Linked DNA regions of Drosophila melanogaster. The protein of the gene in region 1 interacts with the protein of each later gene in a pairwise test. Each region holds a gene or a part of one and is shown on either strand. Other genes may lie near its edges.

The links. Proteins that work in one complex are often made in the same cells at the same time.
Region 2: the proteins of KP78b (region 1) and CG33109 interact in a two-hybrid assay, tested with the Drosophila melanogaster proteins (one large-scale study listed by BioGRID).
Region 3: the proteins of KP78b (region 1) and muskelin interact in a two-hybrid assay, tested with the Drosophila melanogaster proteins (one large-scale study listed by BioGRID).

What each region holds. Positions count from the first base shown.
Region 1 is NT_033777.3:11,347,100-11,355,048, reverse strand, and holds the start of KP78b (KP78b), read left to right. Parts: upstream 1-1,917; 5' UTR 1,918-2,036; intron 2,037-3,886; 5' UTR 3,887-4,403; coding exon of another isoform or gene 4,404-6,521; 5' UTR 6,522-6,710; coding exon 6,711-7,949. Other genes in the region: KP78a, read left to right, coding at 4,404-6,521.
Region 2 is NT_033777.3:14,220,034-14,223,418, forward strand, and holds CG33109 (uncharacterized protein), read right to left. Parts: upstream 1,552-3,385; 5' UTR 1,547-1,551; coding exon 656-1,546; 3' UTR 527-655; downstream 1-526. Other genes in the region: CG31326 (uncharacterized protein), read right to left, coding at 1-161; Sp212 (Serine-peptidase 212), read right to left, coding at 2,095-2,500, 2,719-3,385.
Region 3 is NT_033778.4:12,628,171-12,634,017, forward strand, and holds muskelin (muskelin), read right to left. Parts: upstream 4,112-5,847; 5' UTR 3,987-4,111; coding exon 3,793-3,986; intron 3,711-3,792; coding exon 3,498-3,710; intron 3,436-3,497; coding exon 3,093-3,435; intron 3,011-3,092; coding exon 2,872-3,010; intron 2,816-2,871; coding exon 2,214-2,815; intron 2,151-2,213; coding exon 1,932-2,150; intron 1,879-1,931; coding exon 1,559-1,878; intron 1,507-1,558; coding exon 1,350-1,506; intron 1,288-1,349; coding exon 1,158-1,287; intron 1,103-1,157; coding exon 858-1,102; 3' UTR 527-857; downstream 1-526. Other genes in the region: CG17760 (uncharacterized protein), read left to right, coding at 24-131, 269-351; CG33792 (uncharacterized protein), read left to right, coding at 4,504-4,572, 4,626-4,784, 4,835-5,284; spt4, read left to right, coding at 5,507-5,575, 5,637-5,799.

The DNA of each region.
Region 1 (7,949 bases):
GAGAGCCAGCTGTTATTGAATATCGACAGTGAAACGCAAAACCCAATTAAATACCTAAGTCGCCGCACAGATTTTGCGGCACGTTCGTCCTTCGTTTTGCACCTTTCGCGATGCGGCAAGAAGGACGCAAAAATGCAGATCACGGCCCAAGGAGTCATCGTTCCGGCCGATCCGAAGTCGAAATCGATATGCACCCGCATTTGTCTGTCAAGAAGCTGCCCTTTTCGGGTCCGCAATCTGGAGTCCATAACTCATCGGGGCAATGTGCAAAAGTGGCTGTATCGCATATCCTGTGGCTGCTTTGTTTGCCGAAGATCCCTTTGTCCACATTCGAAGTCAGCTGCAGTTGCAATCTGCTTTTTCCGCATTCAGCACGATCAAATATTGCCGAAGAAAGATATCGCATCCTGATCAGGTGGCGCGTGTCCTCTGGTGGCCAACTGTGATTTCGTCGGTCGGATCGCATTATGTTCACCTATTTTTTGGGGCGTCAGCTGGTGTGCGTGCCACGTGTATCTGGCGGATACTTTTGCCAAAGGCAGCCGCCTTATCGACTGCATGCTGAATTACCCGCTTTCTCATTAGCATTTCACTGTGGCCTACTTGTCTTGGCTTCTTCGGTTCATCTAAATGCAAATTCTCCCCCACCAAAATTCCCAAAACACCTTCAATTTCGAATCTCAAAGCCAAGAGAATATTGTTAGTTTCCAACTGGCAAGCAAAAATTTCTTTCAAATAAGTTCACTTTTTTAAGTTGACTTTTAATTCTTGAAATGAAAGTGCTTGAATATGGCGATGAATTAAAAGTTCTCATTTTCTTGCCTTCAAACGATATGCACTTTGAATGGAAATGTTCTTGAAGTTAGGGTTAATTTTTGTTCCAAGTGAATGGCCAAAAGCTTTTTAATTAAGCCCTGCCTTCAAGGAGGGGACTACGAATCGGGAATCGAGGAGAAATCACAGAAAACTGTTATTATAATCATCGTCTACGTCTACAATCGGACCAACCAACACCCACCCATCCAATCCTTCTTGTCGCCTACTTTGTCATTATAATTTTTCCTTTCAGCCGGCCAAAGCGATGCCCAAATGAAAGAAATTTTTGCGGGCCAAAAGAAATGCATTTTATTATTATTATTGTTATTTGTTGTGGTGACTTTTTAATCATTCCCTACCAAAACAGAGCGCTCCAACGGATTGCGTTGAGATGGTCGCGGGGGATGGGGCTGTTATTCAAGAAGCACTGGAACCACTGGCCGATTCTTATTGGTGCACCAATACCACTCGGACAGCTCAGACAGATATGGCCATCGGCTACTCCCACACCGATGACACGATGACGACACAGCTGTTGACGACGAATGGGGAAGTCTTGATGGCACACATACACCATCGCAGTCGCCAGCACCACCACCGCAAGATAACCCATACCAATGAAGAAACTCAAACGAAGACGAAGACCACGACAAAGGCCAAATTCGCCGCAAAGACGAACAAAGACGAAGCACGAAACACCCGAAGTGCCTCCCCTTCGCATCCGTGACGTCACACCTCAAGAAACGCTCAAGGAAACGATATTGAGAGAAGGAAGAGCAACATAATTCAAAAATTGAGTGAAAAGAAAGAGAGAAAATCAAACTGCTTAAAATTTTAATTTTCTCTTTTTAAATTTTATGTTTAAAGACGACGAAAGAGAAAAGTTGAAGCAGGCGTAAATCTTAATAATGCGTTTCTTTTCAAATCCGCTGCACGAGCACACGATCGCAATCAGTTGGCCATTTTTTTGAGCGTAAGAAGAGCACAAAGACGCTCTTCGCTCTCTCTTTGCTCAGCCCGTCTCAGACGTTTCAGTTCCAGTTCAAGACCTGTCTTCAGATATTCCGCTCAATGCGTTTCAGTACTACGGCGCGCCTTGTATCTGAAAGTTCGGTCTCGCTCAACGATACGGATACGAAACGATATGGTACACTTGTGGAGTGGATTAACGCTAATTCGTTTTTGATTGCCGCCAGGGGGGATCGCCAATGGACCGATGCGTAAGTAAAGAGCGTAATTAAGCAAGCACGCGGTGGTCACTGTGAGTTCCAGAGTTTCGCATCCATTGTCAGATAAGTCCGATCGTATCCCTTGGGTACCAGAATGCCTTATCTTGCGTCCGTTGTGCGTGTCTTTAAGGGGGGCGTTCTTTGGATCTCAATACAAGAGGCGTTTTATTAAGGTCAGCTAATGGATCAACTGTATGTATCTGTATCGCTTTGTGCGAAGTAAGTGTGTTAACGAATGAGTGCCAGACAGAATGAGGCGCCTGAAGATCCCCAAAGTCGCCGATGACTCAGTGGTTAAGGAAAAAACAAAGAAGAACGGCCAGAGAACCAGAATCAAAATAGAAGAAGCCAGAAGGAAGGAGAGGAGAGGCGCATTCGGAAAAAACAAGCCAAAGATCCCATGGACAGGCAGAAAAACAAAGGCGAAAAAGGGGGAAACGAGATGGGAGACCGAGACCCGCACATGTTCATGTTGACATGTGTTGGTATCTTGGGAAAATCGAGAGAATGTGTGAGAGAGAGAGGGGGGTCTGGTGTGGGGTGGGAAAAGTGGGGGTAACTCTAGGTGGGGTGCATTGAACTTGGCGGCAAAAGGGGAGCGATCACTAGCCCAACAAGAGATCACAGTTCCCAGAATTAAAACCAAGCCAAGCCAAGTACTTGTTGTTACTGTTGTTGTTATTGCAAATTTCCACAGATCTGCGATGTTGTTATTGCGAAAAAGAGAAAAGAAGATGATAGGGGAAGCAAAACAAGAAGAGCAGGCAAAAATAATAAATACAAAGACCCAAAAGTAGCAGCTGCATTTTCAAAATTTCAACATTTCACAAAAACTCAAAAACACACACATACGCAAATACCGTAAGTGAGAGAGGGATACGCAAAGGAGCTGAAAAAGGAAGCGAAGAGCCGGAGGAAAAGGAGACCAGACAAAAGGCAAAGCAGGGATGACGAGAAAAGGTTGCAAGCAAAACAAGTCAGCAGGATCAAGGACACGCAGGCCCTTACACACACACACACACACACGCACACAAAGGAGCAGGCAGAGAAAACCTGAAATCGTTACACAAACGCAAAGCAAAAGAGAGAAATGCAAGCGAACGAGTAGGCCAAAAGAAAAGGCAGATTAAGGACCCGTTCCTTTGTAGTACTTTATTTTTTACAATACATCCATAGGTAGGTAAAACCCATTAGGGTAGTTTCATCATAGGTAATGACGTGCATGTGTGTGTGTGCGTGTGTGAGTGTAGCTAGGGATCGGCAGGACATGCAAAAAATAAAATTGAAAGAACAGAGAGGCGAAGAAAATACTTTGTCACAAGGGAAGAGATTAGTTTTTCAGGTCGATTGAAATTCTGTTGTTAGGGGAGAGAGCAAATCACTTAGTGCACAGTGGTGCAAGGTCTATAGAAATAATTTGATAGATCGTCACTATATTATGAATACAAGTCAAGTTTTAAAATTTGTCGATAAGAGCAAATACGAACTGTAATGCAATATTCAAATGTTTCTGTGAACTTTCTTAGTGATTAGAAAAATACGGATAAAAATATATACTCTCGCAAACAAAAATTCGTATGTATAATAAATAAGTCATATTTTTGATAGTTTTTTTTTTGGCATTCCCTTACAATTTATAATTTGGGACTAGTCAAATAAACAAATTTTCACTGAAAAAAAAAAGGTTGCTAATTCGGTTGTAAATGTACATTTAACTATTAGTTTTATTCATTTGAAACGAAATTACCCTAATACCGAGTTTCTATAAAGAGCAACCATTGAATTCCCGATTCCGATTACTTCCAACATCTAATCGAATCATTCTTCTCTCCATTCACCAGAAGGCAGCTGTTACTCCTCGCTGACGAAGGAAACCGAATACCACCAGCTGGGATATATCCTCGCCAGTCGCAAACAAGAACAACAGGGGCACACGATCGCACCGGAGGATCACAAAGGGCTCGTGCCACATGAAGCAGGGGGTTGTTGATAGCGCCTCCTGAAAGAACTAACGACTCATGCGGTCGTGCGTCGAGACAAAGTGATCCTGCCGCAAGGAGCAGGACGAGCCGCTTATCAGCCATGCACGGGATTCGGGGTGGCTGAGGGTTGCAAACACGCGTTCTTATCTTAAAGCTCAGACTGTCGGGAGGGTGACGAAATAGAGCAGATGTGCAAACAACGGCCCCGATGACGGATGACCGACGAAACCCAGCAATTACAGCTTGAGGGGAGGCGATAGTTACCATCCAACGACGCGTGCTCGGCACACTTGCAGATCCACTGAATAGGAGCAACGTTCGCCTGGGCAATCAGAATCGACCTCAGACTAGGAGCTCCAAAATTCCCAGTATTATAATGTCCGTGGACAACAGCTTGGGAATTCTAGACTTATCTTCGGGTAAGGAGAGTGAGAAAACAGCAATGACAGCAGCAAACAAGGAGAACGATCCGGATTCCCATTTCACGGGTACTATCGTCACAACAGGCGCCACTGCTCAGCCAGCCACGCCCACTACCTCAAATGCCACCGCCCTACCAGCCACGCCTACTGTGGCAGCTGGCCAGGATTTGGGTGACGGTGCATGTAGTAGTAAAAATACGGATTCCAAGTTTCAATCGTACGTAAATGGCAATGGCAATGGTGTGTACAAGATCATCAAGACACTCGGTAAGGGAAACTTTGCCAAGGTCAAGTTGGCGATTCATGTGCCCACCGGTCGTGAAGTGGCCATCAAGGTGATCGATAAGACGCAGCTCAATACGAGTGCACGTCAGAAGCTGTACCGCGAGGTGAAGATCATGAAACTGCTGAACCACCCGAACATCGTGCGCCTCTTCCAAGTCATCGAGTCTGAGAGGACACTCTACCTGGTGATGGAGTACGCGAGTCGTGGCGAGCTATTCGACCACCTGGTGAAGAACGGGAGGATGCGGGAGCGGGATGCCAGGGTGATCTTCCGACAGTTGGTGTCCGCCATTCAGTACTGCCACAGCAAGTTTGTGGTTCATCGGGATCTGAAGGCGGAGAACCTGTTGCTGGACCAGCACATGAACATTAAAATAGCGGACTTTGGCTTCGGCAATACCTTCGATCCCAACGCCCAGCTTGAAACGTTCTGCGGGAGTCCACCATATGCTGCCCCTGAACTTTTCATGGGCAGGAAGTACGCCGGCCCGGAGGTGGACGCCTGGTCGCTGGGAGTGGTGCTGTACACTCTCGTCAGCGGTTCGCTGCCCTTTGATGGAGGCACCCTAAAGGAGTTGCGGGAAAGAGTCCTGCGGGGCAAGTACCGTGTGCCCTACTACATCTCAATGGACTGCGAAAACCTAATGAGAAAGTTCCTGGTCCTGAATCCCGCCAAGCGCACTTCGCTTTCTGCTGTGATGTCGGATAAGTGGATAAATCTGGGCCACGATGAATCCGACCGATTGCGTCCGTTTCGCGAGAAGCCCATGGAGCTGCAGGATGCAGCCCGGTTCGATTTACTGATGAGCATGGGCCACAAGCGCCGTGATGTGGAGCAGTCTGTAAAGGGGCAACTGTTCGACGACATCTATTGCACATACATGCTCCTGGGCGTGGCCAAGCCGCGCTCCTCGAACCGCAGTACGAAACCGGAGGCTATACCAACAGTGGATTTAACTACTCCAGCTGTCAGTAGCCCGCTTCCTAATATCACCACACCCACTGTTACCATAGCTCATGTCACGCTTGCGCTGGACAAGAATCCGCCCATCCACTCCTCCTCAGCATCGGGTAGACCCATTGCGCCACGTTTGGCAAATGCACCCAATACACCGACTTCAACGCCACCAACGGGACCGCCTGCCAAGCCCACAAGACGCACTCCAGCCAGGACACCAGCCCGGAAGGCCACCAACCATACGAGCGGCCAAGGACGTCCGGAGCCTTCGAGTCTTCCGCACACTCCGCAGTCAAAGAGAGCCAGTGCCAACATGGATGTGAAGCCCACGCTGCTGAGTGCCCAGCGACAATTGGCCCAGACCCAAAAGCTGGCCAACACTCCTCCGCGCTTCCAGTACCCCGTTGCCCAAACTCCGAATCAAGCTCAGGGATCCTCCAGGCGGCCCACGACCCTGTACGAGAAAGCGGAACCTGCAGTCACTCCACTTCTGGTGCCCAAGTCGCCGGCCATGGGTGCTCGACTGCTAGAACGGATTCCCGGAGGTGGAGCAGTGGAAAAGACCTCCGACAAGCCCTTCACCCGACAAAATGTGGCACGGGCCACTTTTCATTTCGGCCAAGCGCGCAGTGGCAAACGGGGCGGTGGATCAGGAAATGGCGCAGGCGGAGAGGAGGACAGCTATCAGACGCCACCCTTATCCGCGGACGACACCAAGCCCGCCTCGCGGGTAGGTTTCTTCTCCAAGCTGACCGCACGTTTCGGTCGAAGGGTAATCCACTTGAACGAAAAGGATGTCACCGAGCAGCGCAAGAACCTCACCAAATAGCCAGAAGTCGGGTTGTTTGGGGCAATGTCAAGGTGATAGAGATAGAATGATAGAGTGATAAAGAAAGTGATACAGTCGGCCCTGACCGAGCATTCTAACGAAATTAAGTCAAAACTCAGCAAATCAGTTTGTCTTACAAGTGTGCGGCGAACGCTTTGCTGGGATTTAGATAAATTAATCCTACCAGAAATGACGGCAGCAAACACAAACAAAACGACCGACAAGGAGAACGATCCCGGTCCCAATACATCGATATCCACTACCGCCACGCCCCCTTCTGCAGCTGCCCAGAATGTGGGGGGATGTTTTGGGAGCAGTGGAGGCAGATCGAGCCCTAAGTTTCAGTCCTATGTAAATGGCAACGGCTACGGAGTGTACAAGATCATCAAGACCCTTGGGAAGGGCAACTTTGCGAAAGTCAAGTTGGCGATTCATCTGCCCACCGGTCGGGAAGTGGCCATTAAGCTGATCGATAAAACTGCGCTAAATACGATTGCCCGGCAGAAGTTGTACCGAGAGGTAAATATAATGAAAAAGCTCAACCACCCGAATATTGTGCGCCTCTTGCAAGTTATCGAGTCGGAAAGGACTCTCTACTTGGTAATGGAGTATGTCAGCGGGGGAGAACTCTTCAATTATCTGGTCAAAAACGGAAGGATGCGGGAGCGAGATGCCAGGGTGCTCTTCCGCCAGTTGGTGTCTGCTATTGAATACTGTCACAGCAAGTCCATTGTGCATCGGGATCTAAAGGCAGAGAACTTGTTGTTGGACCAGCAAATGAAATTGAAGATCGCTGATTTTGGTTTCAGCACCACGTTTGAACCAAAAGCGCCACTGGAGACGTTCTGCGGAAGTCCACCGTATGCCGCCCCAGAACTGTTCAGAGGAAAGAAGTACTCTGGACCGGAGGTGGACTCATGGTCACTGGGTGTGGTGCTGTACACCTTGGTGAGTGGTTCCTTACCCTTTGATGGAACCAATCTGAAGGAGCTCCGCGACCGTGTTCTACGTGGCAAGTATCGTGTTCCGTATTACGTCTCCATTGAATGCGAGAGTCTTATTAGGAAGTTCCTCGTTCTGAATCCAACGCAACGTACTAGTTTATCGGCTGTCATGGCGGATCGCTGGATCAACATGGGCTACGAACAAGGTAACGGTTTGAGACCGTTTCAAGAGAAACCTATGGATCTGCATGATGTAAATCGATTGAGTTTGCTGTCGAACATGGGTCACAAACCTCGTGATGTAGAGCAGTCGCTGAAGAACCAGAAGTTCGACGACATCTATTGCACCTATATGCTCCTGGACGTTGCTAAACCGCGCTCAACAGCCTGCAGCGAGAAATCGGGATCTTCGTTTAGGGAAACTCCTACGGCTATGCCAGGCAGCAGTCGGATTCCTGTCCCTATAGCTGCTCCCAATGTTACT
Region 2 (3,385 bases), 2.9 Mb from region 1:
TTATTGGCCTCCGGATGACGAACTTCCACCAAACCGATGTACTGCCCCTGGTAGCCCTGGTATTGAAATCGCCCAGAGCAGCCATTCCGGGGCAACTGGCCAAGAACCAAGTTAATCAGAGAAGCCAGAAGGAGAACGGTCACCAGCTGATGCGGACTCATTGCAACTACGTATGAGCTGAGCTTTTCCAGTCTATTTTATAGAGATTTTAATTACTCGCATTAAAACTCAAAAGACTCACTCAATGAGCACTGATTGATACCCGATCTAAGTCTCTCAATAGTCAGTGGCTCTCCCCACTTTGTGGGTATTTAAGTATTCAGTTTTTGGAGCTAAATTCTCGAGCGTAAATTGCACTTCCACATGCTAAGCTCCATTAAGCCAAAAAATGCATTAATATTACTTACCTTTTCTTAAAATAACTTTATTAACAGCACAAAGACAATGAATGAACATTTTCTCACAGTAGGTATTTAAAAGATTTAATTTTTGATTTTCTGCTCCTTTATCATAAAACATATTTAATGGATCTCATATTTATTTATTTGTTTCTATAATAATTGGTGCGAAAGGTTCCTAATTATGTGCTGTCTCTGCTATATGTTCGCCAGTGATTATTGAAATAATATCTGATTTTAAATGTATAGATCCCGACTTATTTGGTAAATGTTTCACTCTCAAGATAATCCTCGATTATATCATCTAGCTGTCTTTCTACCTCGACCCGCTCCTCAGTGTATTCCTTAACAGTTTTATCCACACACTGATTACTTTGCCGTTGAATGTCCTCCAACTGGTTGCCCTTAGTCCGCAGATTCAGCAAATTCTGTGGAGCATTCTGGATGCCATCGATAGCTCTTCTGACGTTCCGCCGGCACTTTTTTGGCTTAACGCTGGAACAGCCTTCAGTGACATCGATCAAGTGCTCCGTTGGATTTTGCAGGCCATTTAGGGAACTTTCCAAGTCCAAGTTAAACCGAATCTGATTCCAGATAAACAGACCAACACAACTACGCAATCGAAGGCCGTAACGACTGTTGAAGTTTTCAGTGATGGAAACAGCCTCCGCGGTTCTAAGACCTTTAGTCGACTCCTGAACTTTCGACACCTTTGCGGCAGCCCAGAACTTCCATTCCTCCTGGACATTAAGTTTCGAGACAAGTTGCTCCTCCTCTGCCTTGATGTTCGTTAGGAATTTTAGCAATGGAGATATGCTCAAACCTAGACCAGTTAGAGCTTGCAGAGATTCCTGCAGGCCTTGTCTCCTTTTCTTTTTCCGAGTATTGGGCAAATCGGATAATAATTTTGCCACATAATTGTCAAGAAGATTCCTCAATTGCGTTATCGTTCCTTCGTTCTTGTTTTGCAGGTCGTTAGTTGGACTTAGAACCGAAATACCTTTTTCGTTTAGCCTTTCTGGATCATTGGGCAGAGCTCCACCATCTCCAAATTTATTCCAGATATCAAAAGCAGTTTCTATTGCCAGAACGCTGTCATTCCAGGCAAACTGGACCACCAGGAGGATTAGAAAGCCGCTGCACTTCATCTTTATACCAGGCCTCTAAGAGTCTATATATCGTACTGCAGGCCTTTTATAGCCAATTACATTGGGTACTTAAATGTGCAGCACGCTTCCCAAACATTTGCTCAGCCGATGCCAATCATTTAGCAGTCAATACGTGGGCATATATGTTTACTTTTATGTCATACATGCAATACACATGGCCATTAATTTGTAAGATATTAGCTAAAGAAAGTTAGCGAAAAAGTCAGTTGTGTCTTTTAGCCAGAACAATCAATCGGTTCTACCAATAAAAAAAAAAAGTGGCCGCTGCTAAATCCTAAAATAGATGAACTATTAATGAAGTACATCTCAACAATTAAAGTTATTTTTTTACAAACATTTTATTGTCAGCACGTAGCAACCTATCTGTACTTTTTTTTGCCTTTCAATCATCCATCATTGCCAATAAAATAAGTGAAAGATGGGAGGCGCAAACTCGTTTTGCCGAAAATCACCAGACAGTGAAACATCTAAATATCTTTTGGCATTAAAGTTTTTAATTTGATTGTCCACAAAGCAAATCCGGATGCTCAGCGAATGTTTTCGCTTATCCAGTTGATGTGCTTGGAAAGATCGCAGTACAGTACATACTGATTAAGCTGGCAGGTGCCGGCAGGTCCGCGTTCCCCTGCAGACACAATACCCCGGAGCAGCCATCGATCGCCCTGCTTGACCATCAGTCCACCGCCGGAATCCCCGACACAGGGTCCAGATCCATCGCGATTTCCCGCGCACAGACTTCGCTCCGTCACCATGGTGCCCCTCCAGGTGCTGGCGCAGACCGTCGGACTGGCAATCTCCGCCTCCACCACGCGTGGATACTGGGTCCTGGAGCTGTCCTCATCTCTCCCCCAACCCGCTATAAAGCCAGTGGTGGACACCGTTCTGCTTGCCTCCACCGTCCACATGCAAATGGGTGCAATAATGTCGTTAAACCTGAAAGAAAACATGATAGTCCTTAAAATATGAACTTTATAAGAGAGATTTTTTCGCATGTTATGAGTATTAAATTATCACCTTCTGTGAGAAGCACATATTGTGATAGAGTAAATATAATATTTGAACGGGAATGCCCATCGTAAAATGATTTATAATATACCTTTTGTATCTCTTGAGTGAAAAATTAAATTACTAATAATTATTTAAATACTCACGTCACTGGCCGTTCAATGGTGATCAAAGCGATATCGGCATCCGAATACGACCGGGTATTGTAATCCGGATGCCAAAGCAATCGCATTACATTGCGCATCTCGGCCCCATCCTCTCCGTAGTCATCCAGATCATAGCGCCCGAGTCCGACGACCACGCGGTCCTCCGTCATCCGATGCACACAGTGGGCGGCACTAATTACAATGCTGGACGAGATCAGGGATCCTCTGCACTTAAAGGCCAGAGCTCGAACCTCCTTGTGATAGACGGCCGATAGCCAGGGGTACTGTCCTCGAGGGAATTCGTTTCCACGCACAATAAACGGAGTTGTGCTGCCCTCTCGACCGCAAACTACTGATGATATTTGGGATCGCGGATCAAAGCGTTGAGGTGGTGGAGTAGCTGGCGGAACGGTTACAACTGCTGGTGGAGTTGGAAGTGGTGGTGGTGGTGGTGGTGCTGGTGCTGGGCTGCTCGTAATAGTTGGTACAGGTGGCGCAAAAGTGATTGGAACACTGGGTACTGGTTGATTCCAGAAAATCTCAGTTGGAGTGGGTGCTGGAGTTACCACTGCTGGGCTTCTGTTGGACACAGTCGTCCAGGGCTGTGTAAAACCACGCCAGATATCATTGCCACGGGATGAGGTAGGATAGAATACTGTCTGCACAT
Region 3 (5,847 bases), on another chromosome or scaffold:
TTATTCGACATCCTATTAACCAGGTCCAAAGAAGGATGCTAAGGCGGCCCGAGAATTCATATTGTACATGTTTACTAGCGTGAATCCTGATCCTTACAAGTGCATCTATCCTCATTTCACCGTTGCTACAAGTAAGTCAACTTTATATTCTGATTTTTGAAAAAAACACATCTTTTTGAATTCCTTGCTTGTGTTTTATTGTGTCTCAACATAAAAACTAAGGACGCTTTACACTCAATAACTAAAAAAGTGTTTTTTGGTTTTGTAGATACTGAAAATATTAAGTTCGTGTTCACTGCTGTCAAGGACACAATTCTGGAATTGCATTTAAGTGAAACTAATTTGCTGTGACCTCGATTTCTACAAAATGTCTATTTAAATCATATTGATGAGTAACAACCTTTGTGTATCATATTTTAAAAATAGGGAAATAAATGTATGTAAAACAGAAAATAACTTTTTAATTATTTATAAGTTTGCTATTATATTATAAACTGATGTATATTAAATGCGCCTTGTTGCTTTTGGACGTTAAAAAACTGTTTTTTATTTCAATCTTATGTTTACATATACAATCCATTAAATATAACTCGGTTTACATACTGTTCTTATTCAGCCTAAACGCACTAACTATGAATCCAGCTGCTTTTAGCCGGGGTTTCAGTACACGTGAACTATCACAATAAAATCATATATATGTCATGCTTTGCATTAACCGTAGAACCTTATATGGGCAAACAAGCGAATTAAACATCACATCATGATCAACAGTTTAAAACAAAACTCTCACACACTTAATAAGCTAAATATAATCTTGGATGGGGGCTCGTATTGAATCGGTTTTGGCACGTTAACATTTACATGACCACAAAGTCGCTAAGGTTGCGTTCAGGTTGGACCATGCTCGGTGGCATCAATTGCACCAGTTTATTGAACAGGAAAGCTCGCTTATTCTTCAGCTCGGGTGTGCAATCCGTCCGCGCCCTTTTGGTGCAGGAGGAGGAGCTCGGACTAGATGCAGTCTCCGAGATGCCAGAAGAGATCATGCTTTCGTTCGACTCCAGGGAGAGGTTCTCGGTAGCGGGTCCATCAGCCAGTTCCTCTGTAAAGATACAAGTTGAATTATCCAATACGAATTCATTATTGACTAATAAAACCTTTGATCTTTGCCGATACATCGGAATCCGTTTCGAGATCGTCTGCATCAGCACACAACGCAGGTGTGTTGCATTCTCTGTCAAGGTTACCATCATGGTTTTTGAAGAGTAAAGACGCAAGCTTGTGGAACTAAAATAATCAACTCAGATATAAGAAAGCTACAAAAATTGAAGTTCTTTTTTTAGACATACATTATTCAACTGCTCCGCATCGCTGTGATCAATGACATCGGCTATATGATGCCGTAAGTATTGCATTGCCTTTAAGGGATCTTGGCGCGTCATCTCCTCATAGCGCAGTTTACGCACCAAAAACCGACAATGCTTCAGGATCTCCTCTCGTTTGGGTCTAAAATATAATAAAATTATCATCGATTACATTCAGCTAGTAAATTACATACTTTTCCAGACATAAAAGCCAAAAATCATCAAGTCTCAGCTGCTGCTGCTGGCAGATTCCAGGATTTCCGCCAAACAAATAATGGGTATTGGTCACATCATCATAGACCAGCTGGTGGGCATAGCGAGGGCACGGCTCTAAGGTTCCATCACCCTTGCTAGCGCCCAAAATATTCATGTTGTTAATTGAGTTGGCATCCTGGCCACTGTGGCGACAGTAATATATCCTCGACCACTTGTGATTGCGCAAGGAATAAACCCAAAAGGAGTTTGATGCATCAATATGCTGTATATCACGACGATCCTTCACCTTACTTAGGCTCTAAAAACGAAGAAGTTAAATACGAACGCCGAAATAATGTCAGAACTACCTACAGAAAAAATATAAATTTCATCACGTTCACAGTCAATGGTGGCACGTAAAGTATAACCGGAGGAAGGTTCGAATTTGGCTTCGTTGCCAGCGATGGTTCCGTGATGCGGGTGCTCCTTGTTGAGAACCGATATGGCCTGGGTGTCTACATCGTAGCTAAGAAACTCATCCAGATCCTCCTTCCCTCGTTGTCCGCCGTATATGTAAAGTTTTCGATGTTTCTATAATAGCGCGTACAAATACATATATCTGTATACATAGCTTATAGAGTATAATTAACCTACGTTATGGAAAACCATGCAGTGTGTGATCCTGGACTTGATGGACATCACATCTGCCAGGGAAGCGCTGGCATGGTGGCAGTCCACCAGAATCTGAGCCCAGGTGTTCGTTGCTATGTGATAGGAGAACAGCCCCGAATATTCTGGTTCTATCGCTCCCGTGGCATTGACACTGCGAGGCGTGAGTATTTTGCCTCCGAAAACGTAAATTGTACGCTTATCGGTATCCATGCACATCTGGTGATCATAGACAAGCTGAGGACCACCCACTTGGCTGGTGTCATCGCATATTTGCATCCAGTTGCCAGCCCTCGTATCGTAAAGGTAAAAGTCGCTCTTTATATAATCCGAAGTTCGTATCGAGTTATCCAGGTAACGACCAAGCATGAATACATTTTCGCTGATGGGATCAAAGACCATTTTGTGACAGGATCGCGGTGTGGGTCCATTGGAAAGCTCTGACCTTTCGCACAGTAGCGTCCACTGATCATCTTCGATATTGAATACCCAAAGGTCGCTCAAGTCCTGGTAGCCATCCCAGCCGCCGTAGAGATAAATAAGTCTCCTTTTGGCATCCACCACCAGCTGGTGACCACCGCGATTGCCTGAAATAGAGGAAGTTAACTGCTAATGATTGCTATTTGGAGGCAAAAATAGTTACCAGGCTTTATGTCGCTTTCGGTATGCTTCATATGCCAGCTGTGCTTGTAGTCCTGCTTATGTAAATACTCATCCATTAGGCCCTCGTCTATGCACTCGACTATAAAGCGTTCAGCCTTCTCAAAGTCGCCCTGCAAAACCTAAGAACCAGTTTTTTTTATGAATTTAATACCAAACTTCAAAGGTTTATAGCATGATCTATGCTGGGGATTCCTTTCTTACCAGACACTTATGCAGTTCGCTGATCAGCGGGTGCTCCAGTTGCACATTCGTTTGCTCCTGGAGCGCCCCAAAGGCACTCAAATAGCCCTGCTGGCGGAAGTGCTTCAGACACAGCTTGATGATCTCCACCTCGCGCAGCGAGTTGTAGTTCTTCATGCGAGCACTGGTGTACATGGGGTCGTCCTGGCCGTGCAGCTCCACGTACCAAATGCTGAAGTTGAACGACGGACCCCAGGAGAGCAGGGGCACGATCTTGAGGTACAGTATTGGTAGATTTTCCGAACCGTCTTCGGTCAGGCAGCGCAGGTTGAATACTTCTGGCACGTTATCGTTTTTTAGGCCACTGGGAAAAATATTTGAGTTATATTAAATAATGCATTTCAGAAAACCAGCTGAATGACCTACCCCTCCAGCAGCAAAACCATGTGCTCATCGTCCAAGCCGCCGTAAACACGGAATTTCTTGATGTTGCACACATGCGATTTCTCGAACTTGCCAAACTTGATTTTCTTCACAATGGCGGGACGGCGCAGCTTCAAGGTGAGAAATTGCGGCGGGCTGTTCGTGTAGGCGGACCACCTAGATGTTTGGTCGTTGGGACAGTCCACCAGGACGTTTCTACGAATGGAAATTAAAAAGATGCCCGTTTAACAATTACGATATGCGAGGCATCCATTTTCTTTTCCAGATTAGTACTTACTCAGGCAGATAGTTTGGCGAGTAGCTGGAGTAACGGTAGATCTCAAAGTTCAGGCGCTCGGAAAGCGAAAAAGGCTTTTGGCTGCTGGTATTCGTGCCGGAGACCGGGTTTAAAGATGGATTAAGGGCCGAGGACAGCGCCACCGATCCGTGCGAGCTGTTGTCCGTGGGACTGGATGTCGAGGAGGAGGACATGGCGAGTTCTATTCCAACGATCCTAGCGGTAAAAGATTAACGGAGCTCGGCTGTAGCTGTTATTACCGTTCTTTCTTGTCCGTACTTTTGTGCTTCCCTGTTCCACACCCAAAACAACCGCGTAACAGCTGATCGCCAGGGGCGTAGCCGTTATCTCATCAGGGGGTCGATTAACCGATTGTCTTACATTACATTGGCAAACGGTTAGCATTTAACAACAATTAGCATTGTGTAAATAACCAATAGAATTAGGCTGTAAAATCAAAACAAGCAATCGACCTTTTCATTTTACGCTTTTTTACTTCCGAGCGATAGTGCATTTTTAACAAAAATTAATTTACGTTAAGCCGATTTTTTGGCTAAAGTGTAGATAAGTGTATCGTGGCGTATCGATTATTTATTTGAAAGCTGTTTGTTCATTCAACCGTGATACCTTTTTATCAAGTGTACAAAGTTATTAAAATGTAGTTAGCGTATGCTTTAAGTTGTTCGGTTGAAGTTATGTTTATTTGTTTCAATGATGGCAAAGTGGCTTGCTGTCTCTTGTGTGTACTTGGGCGTTTTATTATGCCTTCCAAATACCATTGTGCGTAAATAAGCCCGTATAAATACAGATTTCAAAAATATTTTAGTTTTTAGTTCTATTCCAATGGATACTTTTTCAAAATCAGAAAAACTGAGTGCATAGCAAACGGAGCATATTTCAGCAATGTCTCTTGCATTCTGAAGCCTGTAAACTGGACTCGATCGGTATTGAACATGGATGGTGACATAAAGGAGGCATTAACTGATATTAAGGTGAGAAGTTTCATTAATTTAAGTATTACAATAATAATGGAAATTTTCAGATGTCAGTAGAAGTGTTCTACAAGGATTCTTCGAATTTGTACAAGCCCTTCGCCGTTAAATTTAAATTTGATGTTTGCCAATTGTTAAAGAATAAAACGCAAAGTAATTTTCTGCAAAAATACGCTATTAGCCATTTGACGGAGTGGACTAATGTAAACCACAGTTGCCCATATAGGGTAAGCTTATGTATATATAATATAGTTAAATTTTCTCAATATATTGAATATATATATATGTTTCTAAAGGGTCATTTGATTGCGCGTAACTTTCGTTTGGACGAGGTCTCTCTGCCCATACTTCCAATTCAGGATTACAAAATTGCATTTAACTTTTCAGGAGCCAATCCAGGAATTCACTTGGGACTGGTTTTGATCTATTTTGAAATTCTAGAGGATTATTACAAGCAAAAAAAGAATAAGCCACTGCCCAAGCCGTTGAACTTTGTTTAAAATTCATATAGCTGCTAAGGAAATATACACTTTTAAAACACGTTTTAATACAAAGGTTAGCTTCGTGAAAATTCTTTTGACAATTTTTGTCGGGTGTAACCGGCGCCCATCGATATCGTAGATTCAAGAAAATTTTAGAGTACGGTCACTCTGTCAGTGTCGTGGCTTGGTTTTGCACGGATTTTGTATTTTTAGTTTTAAACCCATAATTGATAAGTAAATATGGCCTTTGACGCGATACCCAAGGATCTGCGAGGACTTCGCGCCTGCCTCGTTTGCTCCCTAGTGAAGGTGGGTTATATTTTGCCCAGACTCGACACACATTTTCATTGAAATCATTTATCGCCCGCAGAGTTTTGATCAATTTGAGACTGATGGCTGTGAAAACTGCGAGGAGTTCCTGCGAATGAAAAACAACAAGGACAATGTCTATGATCACACTAGCAACAACTTTGACGGAATTATTGCCCTAACTACGCCCACCGACTCCTGGGTGGCCAAGTGGCAAAGATTGTGTAAGGCCTGAATGACTTCCGTTCCAAAAGGGTATTACTGATATATTT